2 linked regions of the Diceros bicornis minor genome follow. The protein of the gene in region 1 binds, or shares a complex with, the protein of each later gene. Links are inferred from orthologs where the notes say so. Each region holds a gene or a part of one and is shown in the gene's direction. Other genes may lie near its edges. The genes, in order: PDPN and CLEC1B.

The links.
Region 2: the proteins of PDPN (region 1) and CLEC1B are in contact, whole or in part, in a crystal structure (PDB 3WSR), measured with the Homo sapiens proteins. The link is inferred for Diceros bicornis minor from reciprocal best matches to the Homo sapiens genes PDPN and CLEC1B. Residues at the interface, in NP_006465.4 of Homo sapiens: Ala46, Glu47, Asp48, Asp49, Val50; in NP_001380271.1 of Homo sapiens: Arg107, Phe116, Arg118, Arg152, Thr153, His154, Leu155, Arg157.

Annotation. Positions count from the first base shown.
Region 1 is NC_080752.1:31,866,343-31,875,188, forward strand, and holds the start of PDPN (podoplanin), read left to right. Parts: upstream 1-5,077; 5' UTR 5,078-5,282; coding exon 5,283-5,349; intron 5,350-8,846. UniProt on the Homo sapiens protein: Mediates effects on cell migration and adhesion through its different partners.
Region 2 is NC_080756.1:52,105,421-52,114,563, reverse strand, and holds the start of CLEC1B (C-type lectin domain family 1 member B), read left to right. Parts: upstream 1-5,576; 5' UTR 5,577-5,653; coding exon 5,654-5,717; intron 5,718-6,372; coding exon 6,373-6,471; intron 6,472-7,504; coding exon 7,505-7,624; intron 7,625-7,776; coding exon 7,777-7,928; intron 7,929-9,143. UniProt on the Homo sapiens protein: C-type lectin-like receptor that functions as a platelet receptor for the lymphatic endothelial marker, PDPN.

The DNA of each region.
Region 1 (8,846 bases):
ACAAAGATGAAAGTGTCAGTAAGCTCCCGGCTTCAAGGAGCTCACGATAGCCTCAAAGGAGGCGGGGAGACACCAGAGCTTGGAACTCATTGGGCGCAATCCTTTAATGACAGCAGGATGGGGTGAGGTGGCCCTAATACTGGGAGGGGGGTCCAGCCAGGCAGGGGGACGGGGCAGGGGTCTTCAAACCACACACAGAGTTCCCCAGGGGAACGTGCCAGCAATGGATCAATTTCTCAAATCCTCAATGTTTGTCAGTTTTCCTCTAAAACTGCCTGGAGAATGCAACACCTTCACAATAACCCTCCTCCCATTTACAAAAGAAAGCCAGCTCCTTATCCACCCCAAATCTTATTATGGAGCATTTTTCTGGGGTGTAAAAACCTCTGTAGCCCCCAGGTGCCAAGGTGAAACACTGTCTTTCCCTGTTTTGCATACACACTGTTAAGGGTGGAGTTGGGGTGCTCCGAATTCAGGATCAGAACGCCTTGACCAAGGGACCAAAGTTCACACTTGCGTGCCCTGGGAACTGACATCCTGACCTCCTCAGGGGACGCACCGAGAAAACACAACATCACTTCTGGGGTCGTCCAGCCACAAACGCATACCTCAATCTAATCACGAGGAGAGCGGAGACGAAACCAAACTGAAGGACATTCTACAAAATAAATAGAGCCTGTGGTCTTCAAAAAGCAAGTTCAAGAAAGACAAAGAAAGGCTGCAGCAGAGTTCCAGTATCTTCCGGAGATGTGACAGCCCAGTGCAATGTGTGGTCCGGGATTAGATCCCGGAAAAAAAATCCTAAAGGACATTACTGGGACAGTTGTCAAAATTTGAATACGGACTGTGGATTGGACAATAGTATTGTTTTAATATTAAATTTTGTGATTTTGCTAATTCTACTGTGGTTACAAAAGAGAATGTCTTTGTTCTTAGGAAATTCACATCCAGTGTTTAAGGATAGAGGGCAGATATTTCCATGACTCTCGAGCGATTCATTACAAAGCCAGTGTGCACATGTACATCAATACAGAGTAAGTGATGAGGCAAATGGAATAAAACCACAAATTGGTGAATCTGGGCGAAGGGTGGACGGGAGTTCCTGGGTTATTCTTCCCGCTTTTCCGTAAATTTGAAATTATGTCACAAGAAGTTGCAAATAAATACACAAGGAACTCTGGGCATATGATAACTTTTCTACATTGCTGTTTTCCACATTTTCCTTAAGGAATGCATATTTTTATAATGAAAAATTAATAAATGCACATCATTTTTTAAAAGAATATGGTAGTGATGCTGACTCTTAAGTATAACTGGAAAGTTTTCCAGATCTATCAAAAAATATCCAGATGTGTGGATTTAAATTCAGAGATAAAAATTTTACACAATTTTTTTCATGCTTATTCAGGTGGCATTATCAAATGGTGTCATGAAATATATTTTCCAATTATGGTCAGTCTTCATGTTATTTCTTTTTAAGAAGTCTTTAATATGTTCTACCTCCCACTGAACATATATTTATTTAACTCTATGATGAAAAATAACTGGTACTTAGTTTTTCAAAATTCTTTTAGGGGGTCCGCAAGCAAAATCGTGTGCATCCCACTGGAATAAGGCGTGTGATGGTTTGACTCTGACAATAGGAGGGGGGAGTCAGCATTGGGGAGACCCCTGGGAGAACAATGGGGTGCTCTGGCAAATAGAGGCAGCCCAGTGGGTCAGAAATCAAAGCCAGCTCCCTATGCTTGGAACGGCAGCAGCCAGCCCCCAGGTCCCCGTGCAGAACACAAGTTCCTGGGTGGAACCAGGAGATAATCTGGTTTCCCTGGGGGGACTTGGGCCCAGAGAGCAGAACAGGGATGGGCGGGGGGCGCCTCTCAGGAATAAGGCCAAGGTGAGGGCTGCACTAGCAGAGAGGATGAGTTGATGCTGAGTCCCTGTGTGCTGGTCCAGCTGGGTTTCCTGAGATTGAAAGGAACCAGTACTGTTGGGCCCATGTCAAGAACCTCCGCCCTAGAGGCTGGGGCTGGCCGTGTTCAGGTGGGCACAGGGGGGCACCAGAGGACTAAAGAGGCTGAGAACCAGGCAGGGCCTGGCGGAAACAGCCATCATGGTAGTCATAGCAGTTAGACTTCTTTGTGTGCATAGAACTCTCCAAAGTAGGAATAACACGCCCATTTTAAAGAAGCACAGGCTGAGGCTCGTGTTGCCAGAGACCACCATGGAGCTGAATTTGGATTCCTAAACACTTAGGCTCTTTCCAGCAAACCAAGCTGCTGTAGGTTCCTTCTGTCCCCACCCACCATCCCCATCCCCAGCCTCATTCCATTCCTGCTGAATACCTTTTGGGCCCAGCTCGTACCCCTAAATGCACGATTTATTACTGAGTCATGGAGGTGCCCTTGATATCAGCGGTCCATCAGGCGGTATCTCAGCTCTGGAGCAGTGCACATTGAGCAGCAGGAGAAGACGCTGAGAAGTCTTCCCGGGCAGCCTGGGGAAGCATGGCCTGTGGCTCTCAGCCTGTGCAGAGGCCTCAGAGAACGCAGGGAGCCTGAGAGATCCTAACATCCCCCCTCCAGCATTCCTCGGGGTGGCGGGTCCCAGGCAGGGTGCTCTGTCTCCGCTCCTTTTGCTTCTGCACCCTCAGGAGGCCTCCTGCTCCCTAAAAGTGACTTACAGACCTCTTTCCAGATCCTTACCAAGAAGCACTACAGCAGGCTCAAGCCTTGTCACAGAGGGACGGTGGCTCCACGTCTCAGCCTGGACGACCCTGTATGATCCGCGTGGTCTCTAAATCAGTGGTCCCCAAAGTGGGGCCCCAGGACCAGCAGCAGCACCCCCTGGAAACTTGTTAGAAATGCAAAAATCTCCCCTGACCTGCTGAGTCAGAAACTCTGGAGGAACCACCCAGCCCTCCAGGCGAATCTGATGTACTCAGCTTTGGAAACCACACATTTCCTTGCACGTAAAATGGGTATTATCTGTTCTTAACCCAAGTATGGTTTTGGGGATTAAATAAAATAGCGCAGGGTAAATGTCCCTGTTATCTTACCAGTCACCGCTTTAGGAGCACAAGCTGTTTCACAAGAATGGAGGAATCTTCTGGCATGTTCCCTACTTGTTTTCTTCTTCCCCTCATCTAGGCCGCTTGACTGCTGCTTCTCTATCCCACCCCTGAGTCACTCAGGTCACCGCTGCTCCAACCCCTGTGCCCAAGGCCGGAGTCCCCTCTCTCTCCACTGCTGTTTACATTGTTGAGGAAAGTCCCCCCAGTAGGCTCAGCCACTCTCTGCAGTTACCCAACCCAGCAGCCTCTGGACCCTGTCCATAGACAGCCCCCCATCACCTCCCCTCCTCCATCCTGTACCCGAAGGTCAAGTGACCAACCTTGCAGATTCTAGACACATGCCTGGGGCGGTTGGGGAGGAGGGTGGGTAGAGGGGCCTCCCCTTCATTAATAACCTAGCCCCAAGTACTCTCTATATTAGCTGCATTTACCCCATTCTCCCACCTAGGCTTCATTTTGTCTCCGCTTGCAACTGAAGGTGGTCTATCTTTTTCTTTTTCATTTTTGACTTTGGAGTGGATTCGCATCTCTTCTCCACCAGCAGGCTTGACAGACTATATGTGCACCATTCAGTCTGTCGACAAACATTACTGATAGTACAGTAACGTTTAGAAGGTGGGAAGTCAGTTCAGATGATCTTCTCTTTAGTTTTCTCTTTACATTTCCAACCCCTCGACTCACAGGGCCCCTTCCTCCCCCTACTTTGGGTGTCAGCTCCTCTCTTGAACCCCAGGACAAGGCAGCACCTGGGAGATCTTTAGACATTCAGAATCTCCCCACCCCAGACCCAGAGAAGCTGCCCTTGCATTTTAACACCTCCTCCCGGAAATTCACATGATTCACCCGCTCCAGGGTGCCACTGGCTTGAAATACGAACTCCCAAAGGGTCTGAGGAATGAGTTGGGGGTAGACCCCAGGAATCCGAGTTTTTCAAGCAATCTTCTCAGGTGATTCTTATGATAAAGTAAATTTGGAATCAGGGTCCAGGATAAGGGTCAGAAAACAACCAATTTTCACCCCAAGGTGGACCTTTGGGGCATTAGTCTTCAGTTTTTTTTTGCTGAATGGAATTTGTGGCATCCGGAGTGTGGCAGAGGCCACCTCCCCAACTCCTCTTCTTTTAAAAAATGTTTCTCTTTAAATTCCAGCAATTCAAAAGGAAATAAAGTAAAAAATATAAATTCTTTTCCTGTTCTTAACATCCAGTACCTGAGATCAGAACAAGATTGCTTAAATCAGTAAAGTGGGGATCTGGGGGCCAAACTCCAGGGTTAAAAGGGCTGAGCCCCAGCTGGAAGCGGACACGTGTTTGGTGGCCAGGTCGGTCCTCGGACATCCTCGGGCTGCAGCGCCTCACCGGCCGCCCGTGTCGGTCCGCGGGCCCCAGCATCACAGCGCTGCATCCAGTCGGGAGAGGCGGATCTCCAGCTCAGGCTTTTTTCCCAAACTGCCAAAGCCACCGAGTCCGCCAAGCTCCCGGCCGGCTCTCGGGCAGGCCCCTGGAGACCGCCCCCTCGGGTCCTCTGGACAAGGGCGCAATTTACCAGCGCGAGCCGCCCCTGCCCACCCAGATGAGGACGCTCGCTTTTTTTTCATTAAGCCATCAGATTCAATATTTACAAGAACAATCCCATGCTTAGTTCTAAAATTACCGGCCACACAAGGAATAGTTTACTTCTCACAACAAGAAAAACCTAGGCTTGTGCCTCACTCTTAAAAATCAGAATAATAAATAAAGTAAAATATTAAACAAAATAAATTGCTTATTGCATGCGCCCCCTTTCCCTCCTGCTGGAGAACGGAATAAAAGCCAATTTTGCGGCGCTCCGGGCCCTCCGCGCGCCCTGGCGGCCCCCGCAGCTGCAGCCCTGTAACTTTAAACCTGGCCTGAGGTCATCGTTTTCGCGCGGGCCAAACAGAGCGAGGGGGCGGTCCTAGTGAGCCCCGGACTGGGACCACCTTACAGCGGACCTCTCTCCGCCCTCCTCGGGAGAGATAAATGCTGACTCCCATCCAAAAGTTGCCAGCAAAGTTTGGTGCTCCGGCTGCTTGCGCGGGTGAAGGAAGCTTGGGAACCCATCACGCGCTGGGACTTGCGCTCCTTGCATCTCCACTCGCGCTCCGCCGGGCCTGTGGCTGCAGAGATTTTTAATCTTCCTCCAGTTCAGAAACCAGCTGCTCGGCCCCCGAAGAGAACGAGTCAACTAAGAAGATGTGGAAGGTGCCGGTTCTGCTCTTGGTTTTGGGAAGCGCGTGGCTCTGGGTCCTGGCAGAAGGAGGTAAGACTCAGCAGGAGTCTGCAGCTGCTGGTGGGGACTGGCGAGCTGGGGCTTGCTGGAACGCCTGGGCCTGGCATTTGAGGTTGCCGGGGAGAGCAGAGGGGAGCCGGGAGTGCGTGTGTGCGAGTCTGGAGGACCCGGGAGAAGGAGAGACAGAGGCTTAGCTGGTGCCAGGTCCCAAAGAAACAGCTGAGCGGAGTGCAAGGAGGAGCCCCCGAATCCACAGGCAGCAAGGGTGGGGAGCAGAGGGGCCTCCCTCCAGGGCAGCCCACCTCCTTCCACCCCCTGCTCGGGGCACGAGCGCTAGGGCGAAGGGGTAACAGCAAAGAGCCTTCCACTGGCAGGTCTGGGCTTTCCTGCAGGGCTGCGTTCTGGGGGAACGCCCAGGGCCTCAGAAGAAACTGGCCCCATGGAGTCGGGAGGGACATTCAGGAGTGCTGGGGTTGGGGGAGGTTTTCCTCTGTATAGTGATCGTCTCCCTCCCGGGGCTGCCAGATCTTACACCCTGTGCCCCGGCATGTTGGACACACTCAGGCCCCATCAGTGGGGACCAGCTAGCTGGAAGAGGCCTCGGTTATCCTCTGTAGAGAGGACGGTGTGTGCGGAGAGGACTGAGGTGGAGAGGGCTCGTGAGTGGCTGAAGGAACAGAGGATGACTGTGAACACTGAGGGTTAAGGTGGTTTGGGGCCGTGTGTTGAGCTTGGTCAACAGCATCAATAACTGAGTGATGGTGACTCCTTAGACTTTTAACTGTCTTAGATCTGATGCTGCGGGCCCTGCCTACCATCACCTACATCTTCCCTTATCCTTTCGCTCTTCTTCCTCTTCTTACCTCTTTCTGCCCAGTGTGCTGTGTTGGAGGCATCCATGCACGTGTGTGAATATTTTATTTCTTTTCCTGGGGGTTTATTTTGTATCTGTTTTTCCAATAGAATATAAGCTCCCAAGGACACAGCTATGTCATAGCCTTGATCCCCAGGGCCAAAACAATGTCAAGCACGTAGTAGTTGCTCACTAAATATTGATTGAAGGAATTATAAGCTCACTACTGATCCTTGGAGTTGGAGGTTGCTGAGCCAAGCTCTGAAAGGTGAACTTTTACATTCTCCAAATTGAGGATTGTAGTCCTGGTGCCAGAGGACTCCTTCTTGGAGGGAGTGGTGTGAGGGAGGAGTGGACCTGACCTAGGCTTCTATAATTCCCTGCAAAGACAAAAATACCCAGCCCTAGGGAAATAACACAGGGTGTAGTGCTCTGTGCCCGCTGTCTGCTTCGGAGAGACCCAGCAACTCTCTGCAGGGCCATGGGCTATTTGTGATGGTCCTATCTTTGGAACTTCTCGTTCCTCTAGAATATACACAGCTCTGCATTTCAGTTACATTTCCCTTTTGGCGAGACAGTGTGCAGATGACACCGTTTTGTGCTCACCAGGGCAAGGTGTGGGAGGCCCCCGAACTCAGGCGCATCCCAGCTCCGCTCAAGACAGACGGCAGCTGGGCGGCATCCCCTGTTTTCTCTCTGGGGAGGGTTGGCTGTAATTATCTTTAAGCCAGTTCCTGAATGTCAAAGGTACTCCTACAGGGTGGCAGTAAACTTTGTCTGAGAAAGCAGCCACCATTGGTACTAGAAACTAGACTGCTCAAGGCAGAGGCCCCTCCTCCCCTGGCTGTGTTGGGGGCCGGCTGTGTGTGGATGCTGTGTTGCTGGGCTGCTGGCAAGGAGCTGAGGCCCAAGAGGGGTTTTGTCTGAGGATAATGAGTGAGGCGACTTGAATATGGATGAATAACTTCATTGAACTGGCTATTGTTGGCTCTTGTTGGGGAGCTGGGCTGGGGGTAATTATGGTGATGATTTTTATTATCCTTCTCTTAGGTTCCTACTCCCCACTGTGCTTCCCTCATCTAGTGTTATAATCTGGCTCGGTTTTATAATCTGGTCCCGTGTGTTGTCTCTTTGGATGTGAGTGGATTCAGAGGAGCTCTGTTGTCCACACATCTGGCACTTTCCTCCACTGTGAGGCCCCACCCTCACTCTGATCTTGCATCCAAAATACGTACTTCAGGGCCTCTCCGTTAGAAAATCTATCTTGTGAAATTCTGCAGGCTGCTGCTTGCTGCAAACCCACGTGTGCTTTTCCGGGACCAATCTACCCAGGATTAATCATGCGGTGCACAAATTTCCCCCGAACTCTTGCCAGTTTCGGAGGCCCTGAAATCTTCATGAGTTGCTAAGTTTTGGTTGCCCTTAAGGCATCTATCAAGCATTTAGTAAAGATCAGGTCTGTTAGAGCCTTTGTGAGGGAGGCCTATCCATTACACTGGAGTACATGCACATTTTTAAAAAGTATCCAAGCATGAGAAGGCTAAGTCGGGACATGGCGAATAGGGAGGAACCTGGCTGAACGGAGGTACGCGGCTCTTCTCTTTCTCTGAAAGGAGTGGCCCATGAATGACTCTCTACCACAGAGTTATAAAGACCCCAAACCTTGGCGTGACAGTGGATAGGCTGGCCAAGTAGGAAGGGCACTGCTTCCCTCCCATTCCCATCCCCTGCCGCGTGTGAGGAACGTCCGTTACCTCATTTCATCATGACAACTCCTTAAATTATACACTATTATCTTCAGAATGTGCCAGAACTGGGATTCGAAAATGGGTCTAATTCCAAAGCCCAAGCTTTTTTCACTACATTACATTGCTGCAAAAAAAAAAAAAAGTTGAACTTGAAATTAAAGGTTAACCTCACTTTAAGTTCCTTAAACATGAAAACAAAATATTTTAAGGTACAAAAAGTCCTTTACATCAAATACCATGATACTCCTTTAAGAATAAAAATGTCACAGTACATTAAAAGAAGATTCATAAATTCGTTCCCCAAATATTAATTAAGCGTCTCCCAAGAGCTTGGGCTGGTGCTCAATGCAGGATTTGAACCATATGCATGTTTGAGGGGGCACACCTGACATTATAAAGCGTACTCAGGAGTCTTCACCAGCAAGGCAGCGGACTTGTGCTTTAAATTCCACTGGCTTATCTGAATATTTGTCATATTTCTGGCTTCTAAGAGCAGGCATGCCAGGTTACAACTTGTGGAAATATGACGGGGGAGGGCGTGGGGAGAGAGAAGACTCGAATACCTAGCAGTGTCCTGTGAAACTCATGGGAGGAATGTAAATATGCTCCTGCCAGGCTCTCCAAGGCAGCCTTGTCATTCCTGCCACCCCGAAACCTCTCAAGGAAATACCCAGTGTGAGCGTTTTGTTGGAAGAGAATCATATGATTGGGGTGAACAGGGGTGAGGTGGTACTTCTAAAGCCAAGTGAACAGTTACTGAGTCTTAGGATTTCCACAGGGGGTGGACAGGAGACAAAGAAACTCTTTTTTTTTTTTTTTTTTTTAATGTGTTGTAGAGGAGGAAGACACTTTCCTCTACGTTTCTAGGTTCTTCTGGATGGTCTAAGAATTAAATTGACATGAGATAGACTAACAGGAGAAAATCA
Region 2 (9,143 bases), on another chromosome or scaffold:
CCAAAAACCTAAAATCACCTTTGACTTCTCTTGCCACACTAACATGAATTAAATCCATAAGAAAATACTGTTCATTGCAGAAAATAAGGGAACACAGGTATTAAATATGGAAGTATTGTTGATTTGGGACATGTGAAAAGAAATACTGAGTTTACATAATAGGAAGTTATATTCTCACTCTGTTCCTCAATGACCATTCCATTCCCACATATTATGCCTATTTCAGAGAACACTTTTAAAGAGGGGCCTATATTGGATAGTACCCAGAGAATCGGTAGAATAGGAATTAATTCAAAATTATTTACAAAAAGTAATGGAAAAAAGTGAAGATTAAATCTGGACTCGTCAAAGACCTAGAGAAAAGATAAAAACAGAAAAAAATGGCCACAGGGAGGAGCCAGAGGATGAATATCGGATAGAATTTATTTTGAAATGTATATTCATCCCATGAGGATAATAAAATACCCTGATTAAAATAAAGGGCTATGAAGATAGACTGATTGCTTCAAATCCCAAATCAACATTTACTTGTCCAGTGACTTTGGCAAGTCACTTAACCTCTGTGCTTTATTTTTTCTGTTAATAAAATTGGTGTAATACCTACCACAAAAGTAATTAATACAAGCACATAGAAACAATAACAAATGATAGCTATCACTATTATTATATCAGAAATAAGCTTAAATTATTCTGGATGATCTTAAAAATGGAAGAAACCTATGCAGTTGCCCAAGTACTTCTAGTGAAGGTTAAACAAACCAATTCAAATGGGCACAACAAGGGCCAGCCCCAAGCCTCACCAGTAAAGTTCTATTATACGATTTTTTTCATAGTGCTTATCATCATCTGAAATTATCCTGCTCTTTTCTTTCTTGGCTTCTTTGCTCACCATCCTCCACTAGAATATAACCTCAATAAGAGCACAACTTATGTAAGTTCTGTTCACAACTTAATCCCCAGGAAATAGAATAGTGCCTGGGACATACACAGTGATCAACAAAAATATGTTCAGATAACTGATTAATTGTCCTTGCAATGTAAGTTTTATAGTGATTTTATTAGGACACTTTATGTCCCAGTATACTGTGACATGAATCATCAGTTCAAATACACTTGATCAATTCACTTTTCTTGGTCACATCATACTCATTCAAACTTTCAGAGCGTTGTTCAGATATTTGCCCTGCCTGAAAACATTCCCCTTTCCTCTCTCTCTTTATGCAATCTTTGCCTTTCCTTCAAATCTTAACTCAAGTCTTACATATTCTATTTGATTATTATTATTGTTATTATTTGTGTGTATGGGCGTGTGTGAGGAAGATCAGCCCTGAGCTCACATCCATGCCAATCCTCTTCTTTTTGCTGAGAAAGACTGGCCCTGGGCTAACATCCGTGCCCATCTTCCTCCACCTTATATGGGATGCTGCCACAGCATGGCCTGACAAGCGGTGCTTTGGTGTGCGCCTGGGATCCGAACCAGGGCCACCAGCAGTGGAGCGCCCGCACTTAACCGCTATGCCACGGGCCGGCCCCTCATTTGATTATTATTTAACTTTTTTATTTACAGATATTTTGTAAGCATGTGCATGATAAACTTCTCAGTGTTATGGATGCAGTCTAACACATTTTTTTCCTTCATTTTCTCTACTATGTGTAACAAAATGCTCGGCCACAGTTGTTATCTGATAATTATTCATTGTTTGGTTCATTAACTTTTAATAAAATGCATTCTGCTTTTCAATCCACATGTTTAAGCTTTCTGAAAATTTAAGAAAAATATTAATTATCCTTTTTTTCATGACAGGAAATCCTAGTCTTTTCCAAAGATAAACAATATTTAATACGTATGTAGAAGGCTAGTAACTCAAAGGTGAACCAAAAATTTTAATGCGCAGGACTGAGGGAGGGAACAAGCTATCACCTATAAATGCACCTAAGGGTTAGCTTAAAGGTGATGTACATTAAGAAGTCTGTACAAAGTTATGACCAGCTGCAAAATATTCACCTCCCTTATATTTTTTCAGTTTAGAGACATTGTTATAACACTCACAGTATCAACATCATTCTCTTTTCGTCTTTCTCTTTTACACATCCACTAGCCATCATTATATATTGATCAGTCTTATCCACGATGCTATGGATTCCACTAAGTTCCTTTGTTTTTGCATCTATACCTTGTCATTGTGATCCTAGTATATTTTACTCATTCTTCAGCTATAAACACAGATAATAGAATCCGGCCAATACCTAAATTTGAAAGACGCCTTTATGTAGTGGAAAGAACTTGGAAAACTAAGTAGATGGTGCTGCTTTTTATAAGTATGATCATAGAAAAGTCCCCAAATTCCTTAAACTTCTCTTTCTACATGTGTAATATTAGGATCAAAATTCCCATTGTACCTATATTCCTTCATTTACCAAATATCTATTGGATGGTAACAGTATGTCAGTCACTATTTTAGAACCGTGGAGTACATTCTTGTGGGGATACATGACAAAAATGTGTATATTTAAGAAGCCTCTGTGTGTCAGATAGTGATAAGTGCAATGGAAAAAAATGAAGCAAGAAAGAGGGACAAGAGTGTGGGCTGGTGTGTGGTGGGTGGGAGAAGTTGTTCTAAATACTAAAAAATAAAGGATAGCTAAAATCTAAGCCTCTGTGTTCCATAAGGACTAGTACCATGACTAACTTGCTCCATGAATATTCACCACCAATTTCAGTGCTTGAAACATATTCAATTAATAAAATATTTGCTTTAAAAGAGAAAATTTATGTAAAAGTGCCTCTTAATCTCTAAAATACTAAAGAAATAAAGATTTTTATTCCAAGTTCAAACTCATCTGGATATTTGGAATAAAGGACTTTTTCAACTCTTCTTTCCTAGGCCAAGAAAAAAGAGAGTAATAAAATATGCAAGCAGAAATAAAATGTCAATGATAGGCCTTGTAGGGTGATTAAGAGTTATCTAGCAAAGCCTCTGGATTTTGGAAAAGGAAAAAGAAAAGTTTGTAATATTTATCTCTTTTTCCTGCAGTTCTCTGCATAATTTTTGCTGAGTAACTCAGCTTGTATTTACAGATTACGTAGAGGGAGAAAGTCGAGTTAAGACTAATATTATCAGGGGCTTCTTTGACCTGAGAGTCTGTTCTCATCCAGTATATTTCTCACACTGCAAGGTCATGTTTGGGGGATAAAAATAATGGCCAATATATTTTTATGGAACATAGTTCTTGATATAAGACTCTCAGCCTGTGGCTAGAATAATCAACGATCCAAAAACCAATGATGTATTACAAACACCAAGGAGAAAGAACCAAAGGAAAATCCAGAGGCTGAGATATAGGAAAGGAAAATCATCTGAGGCTTAGTGTTACCCATTTCAAGTTTACCTACTTCTGGAGTTAAATGTACAGTTTTAAGAATTAATGAATCAAGAAGTAAGCCTGGCATATTCCTGGTGGTTTGCAAGAAGAATAAATGGGATACGTTTATAATTTAACCAATTGCCCAAGACCTAGAGATGTGGAAATCTGAACAAAGCAAGCTACTTGTTATATTTCAGACCTTATTAAAGTTTCTGTTAATTGAACAAGAAAATGTTTACAATAATTATAAGTCTTCCGAATGTCCATGGATCTTGCATTTAGGTATTTGATTTAACTTCACTATAAATTTTCAGAAGTTACTTATTTTGTTACTAAGAGAACAGAATAAAGCTTTCTTTAAAAAAAATGTCCTTTGAACTGCACCCTCCACACTCTTTTCTCTCTGTCACTTAGTCACAATTATTTTTCAGTGTTTCAGTATATTTTACAAAAAAAGCACTAAAGTAAGGCAGTGACAGAAAGGACACAGAAGATAGGAGTTAAGGTGAAAGAAAAACCTTGGGCTTGGTATGCGAGTAAACGTGAGCAAAGGAAGAGAGAGAGAGTCAAACTAACCCTCAGGCTGTGCTGGAAGGTTGGGGCTGTCATGCACTGTCAGGAAGGGTGAAGAGTCGTTTTGGCTGAAGAAGTTACTTGAATAGAAGCAGTGGTAGATGAATGGTAGGGAAATGATCTGAATTTGCCTGGCTTGTGATTGGGAAGCACTGAATATTTTAACAGAGATAAGAAACTCAGTGACAAAAAGTGGTTTGGAGATTTAAGAAATTGGATTATTTGATTTTTAGCACATTATTAAATTTGACATTTATTTCAAGGGAGTGGGATTTTTGATTAAATATCTGTTTTTGGTAAAATTATTTAAGTCCTGCTAAGTGTGGGTTTTAAAAATCAGGCAATGCCTTTCATGCTTGTTTTGTTTATACTTTACCTCATTCTCAAAATAATTTGAGGTGTGCAGTGAAAGAAATTTTAAAATAAAAGATTAGTTTAAGTGAGTTGACAAAGAATTCAAAGTGAAGGAGATAACAGCGAGGAAAAAAAATATGTACAAGAGATGCCAAAGGGAAAGTTAGTAAACAAAATACTTGTCACAAGATCTTATGTAATTACTACATTGAAAAATAAAATTTTCAATATAGTCTAACATTCTACTAACTAAAGGAAAAATAGAAATTAGATCATTTATAAGATAAATGCCTCCTTGGTTACTTAGAAGAAGGGAAGCTTTTCTGGCCGTAAAGTTTAACAAAAACATCTGCTACAAAACTATATAAGAGAAACCCTAATGATAAAATAGACAACACTCTCACCAATATTCCTACAACAAATACAGCAGGACCTTTCTACGGCTGTTCTTATAACTACCTGCAATGTAAGCTAAAATAACAATTTAAAAGCCCATTTCATAAAGTTAAATGTGTGAAATACTTATTATATTGTGATGCAAAGGGCACTAAGATATCATCCTTTCCTCAAATAGTTCTTCATCTAAATACCACTATACTTGGAATTACGTGAGTTCATTGAATTAAGATTTTTCCATTCCTGGAAATTCGTTTTGAAGTGCAAACATCACTTGAGCACAATACATCAAGTCACTAATTGTGTTATTTCACTTTGATTGTTTTCCTTCTATGCCTAAACCTAAGCAATATGAAGGCTGCCTCATTTGAAGTCCTTGAATTTTTGAAAAATTTGATTGGCAAGAGATGCAAGAATTTGGATGAATTCTAAGTCGTAATTAGGAACGGTCCCTTCTAACCCAAGACCATGAAACATCTAATCTAGTCCACATTAGATCACATTATATTAGACTTGCTCCTCACAGTGAGATAGACAATACATATATCTACTAGTATTTTATCCATGAATTTTCATGAGAAATTAGTTTATTTAAACAATATGATTTAGGCTCTGCTAAGGTTAAGATGAAGCAGGAACTTTTTTGTTCTTTGAAAGGATACACATGATGGAATACTGCTTAATTCAGAGTTGAAGATAAGGAAACAGGAAACAAATGCCATATCTACTCCTTTACCACAAGTTATTATTTTTGTGTTTGTATGTTCAAGGACCATGTATCTTCGAGCAGCTGTGAAACAGCTTCCTGGAAAGAAAAAAAAAAATACACTTGCTCCAACTCATATGGCTCTGCCTTACCAATGAGAGGAGCATCACAGACTGACAGACATTGAAATCATAAGAGTGGACACCACATTTTGCAAAGTAATTGAACTCTGAACTCACTTGTAGTCCAAGGAAAGCCATGCAGGATGAAGATGGATACGTCATCTTAAATATTAAAACTCGAAAACCAGCTCGCACCTCAGGTAAGAATGCTTAGAGCCAGAAATTGGAAATTAATTATCGAAATAGGTCAACCTAGTTTCCTTTTTCTACTAATGATAGCACATTTAGTTTTATTTTCCTAAATGACTTTCTTTCTCTACAGCATTTGTAGTGGTATCTACATGATATAGTAGTAACTACATGAGTAGTATCTACATAGGCTCAGATAGATTTATTTAGAATACAAACAACAAAAGATACAAGCAGGGTACACTACCTTAAGGCTTATAGAGTTCAATGCTGGAGGGAATAGAAACCAAGCGGGTAAGGGGAGAGAATGTTTTGCAATCCCATTTTCTAAGATGTCAGCACATGGGCGTGATCCTCCGGTCATTGATTATAGAAGCAATTATTTACGAGAGTGGGCACAAAACAAAGTAAACACATAAAACTTTAACAGTTAGTTGTATTTTAAGTCAGAAAGAAGAAGTCCGTTGGGGATGGGGCCATCCCCATGTGTGGAATGGGAGTGGTTTATGCTTACTATTGACGACCACCAAGGGAACACAGGCAAGATATGCCAACGAATATGTTTATATTGCTTGGAAAATCCTGAGAGAGCAGGAACAGGGATGACACTGCCCCAAAGCTATGCCATACTGCCAGCCCTCTGACGTCTTTATTGTATGCCCACAGTTGACCTTGCTACCCCATCTTTGTGGCGTGTGATGGCTTTGATTCTGCTGATCTTGTGCATGGGGATGGTCGTTGGGCTGGTGACTCTGGGGATTACATGTAAGTATTGACTCATTGCCAAAGATTTGATCTGAGGAAGGCAATACCTAAGAGTCCCGGTGTATCCCACTAATCTTATTTGTCACTATTTGCCTACTTGTCACTACTCCAATCATCCTATATGTAGCTCAAGATATTCTCAATAAAGGAGAATTCTTACCTTTCCTTCTAATAAAAATCATCTTTTAGATTTTTTTTATTAATTAAAAACTATTTTCAAGAATTTTAAACTGGGCTTTAAGATCCTCCTAAGTATGGATTCACACTTTTATAATTTTTTTTTCTCCCTGTCCTGCATATCTTAAGATCCAGCCAATCCGGATTTTTCTGTTTCACAAATAAATCCTACATCTCCTTGCCTGAAATTTTGCTCATTTTATTCCTTCTTCTGAAAATGTCCTCCTTCTCATTTTGTTTAATGAATTTATTTACTTCCATGAGGAGACAATTTATATCACACCTAATTTATAAATATTTTTCTCCTTGTAAATCTAAAAGCCCTCTAATGTCACATTATCATGTTTAGTTGTTGCTTGTTTATATATTGTTTATTTTTTCACAAGATATTTTAGAATTCGTCATTCATCATCTTTTATTTACCTGAGTATCACAGTATTTGAGCATAAAAGGAAATCAATATGTATGTGTTAAATGAAAGGATCTTTTGGTATTACATAAAAAACAAAATAGCAAAATTCATCTCTGTGAATCTGTTTAGAAACCTGCATTCAAGGAAAGTTGAAATAACTGCTTTGGGCATGCAATTTGATCATGGCATTTTCTCATTTGTGATTGACTCCTTCAAATAGTTCGCTTGTTCTTTTGGATAACCCTCTGGTGCCAATTTTACATAGTTCTTAATTTGTTCTTTATACTCCCCTTTACCCTAGCCCTTTTCAGCACTCATTTACTCATGTGCATCTAGTAAACACTTCATAGATTGATAATTCTACTGAAATTAAAGTTCATTGAAAGGTCTTTACATCACCCTTATTACCCTGATTACAAATTATTATGTAATTTTTACACCTAGCTGTCAAGCAGCAAAACTACCTACGAGCTGAGAATAAAAATCTCTCAGGAACTCTGCAGCAATTAGCAAAGCGGTTCTGCCAATATTTATTAAAATCATTGGAAAAAGGGCACAATTTGGGTACGTATAGTTTGGTAACCTCTTCATCTTCTCTACCCCTGGAGTATTTCTGTGATGCTATCTGTAGGAAATCTTGAGATCTGCAGTAAACATGGGGAAAAATTAAGCCCAATTTAGAATGAAAGGGTTCCTATGCTTGGTTTCTCCTTAAGGCCATAAGTGCAGCCCATGTGACATAAACTGGAGATATTATGGAGAAGGTTGCTATGGATTCTTCAGGCACAACTTGACATGGGAAGAGAGTAAGCAGTACTGTACTGGCATGAATGCTACTCTTGTGAAGATCACCAACCAGAACATTCTGGTAAGGAGATGTCTATGTCAAATATTTTGGAGTCAGAAGGAGAAAAATCTCAAGTGAAATATTTCACTAAAACAATATATATTTTTTTCACATCTCCCAATTTGTGCTAATATGAGAAGCTTATCAAGCTCAGTAAAAATTACAACATTTGAGAGTAGCAAGAGGTGAAATAGAACTATGGGATTTTGAGTTCTGGTCTTATCTCTGCAACAAGTAATTTAACCTTTCTCAACTTCCTTAACTCTATTTACTAATTCATAAAAGAGTCTGAAGGTATAAAGAAACTTAATATGGTTGTAAAATATAAATAACAATGTTATCTCAATATTACATGCCTTTTTTTTTTTTTTTGTGAGGAAGATCAGCCCTGAGCTAACAACATCCATGCTAATCCTCCTCTTTTTGCATAATTTCCAAAATTATGTTTGGAAGCAATCTCATTTGCGCAACACACAAGATTTCAGTTGAAAATTTTCCATTAAACATGTCTCCTCTTCCACATTTCCCGCTCTGATAGCTCCTAATAAAGTCTCTATTTTCAAGCAAAATACGTCCACATCCATTCATATACTCTCTTCTTATTATTTAATGTAGCTTTTCTCTTCTTCATGAGTCCTGGGAGCAAGTCAGAAACCAAGCCTTCTACCTTCTCCCTTCTACCCAATAACAGGTTTATCAAAACACATTTTTTAAAAAGGCAAAAATTCTTTATAGTATTTATCCTACAATTTCTTATATAGTTATTATCCATATTTTTGTGTATTAAAAAAGAAAGCAAATGTAAGTTGGAAAAGAAGTCAGGATTTGGGCTATGTGCAGACAGAGATTCAAGAGAAAAATATTCAAGCTGGTCATATTCTACAAAATTGTTATAGTTGATCAGCAAAATTGACATACTTTCCTGAGAGCTGAAGTGCACAGTACTGGACCAGAAATGAGGACATGAGTCCAGTGACATTTGTGAGCATTTGTGTGCTGTGTTATTCTAACTTGCTGTACCATCTACTTTCTCGTTTTGTGGGCTCAGACTCATAGAGAAGAAATTCAGATAAATAAATTAATAGTTCTTTCCAATCAGGCAAAATAACAGAGTACTCTGAAATCTCAGCTCCTGCAAAGAGATTAATTGGAGACACATTTACATGTTTTGACACTTATTACTCTAAGCTGATGCCAGATTGGAGATTTATAAGTAAAAGAGAAAGTAATATAATT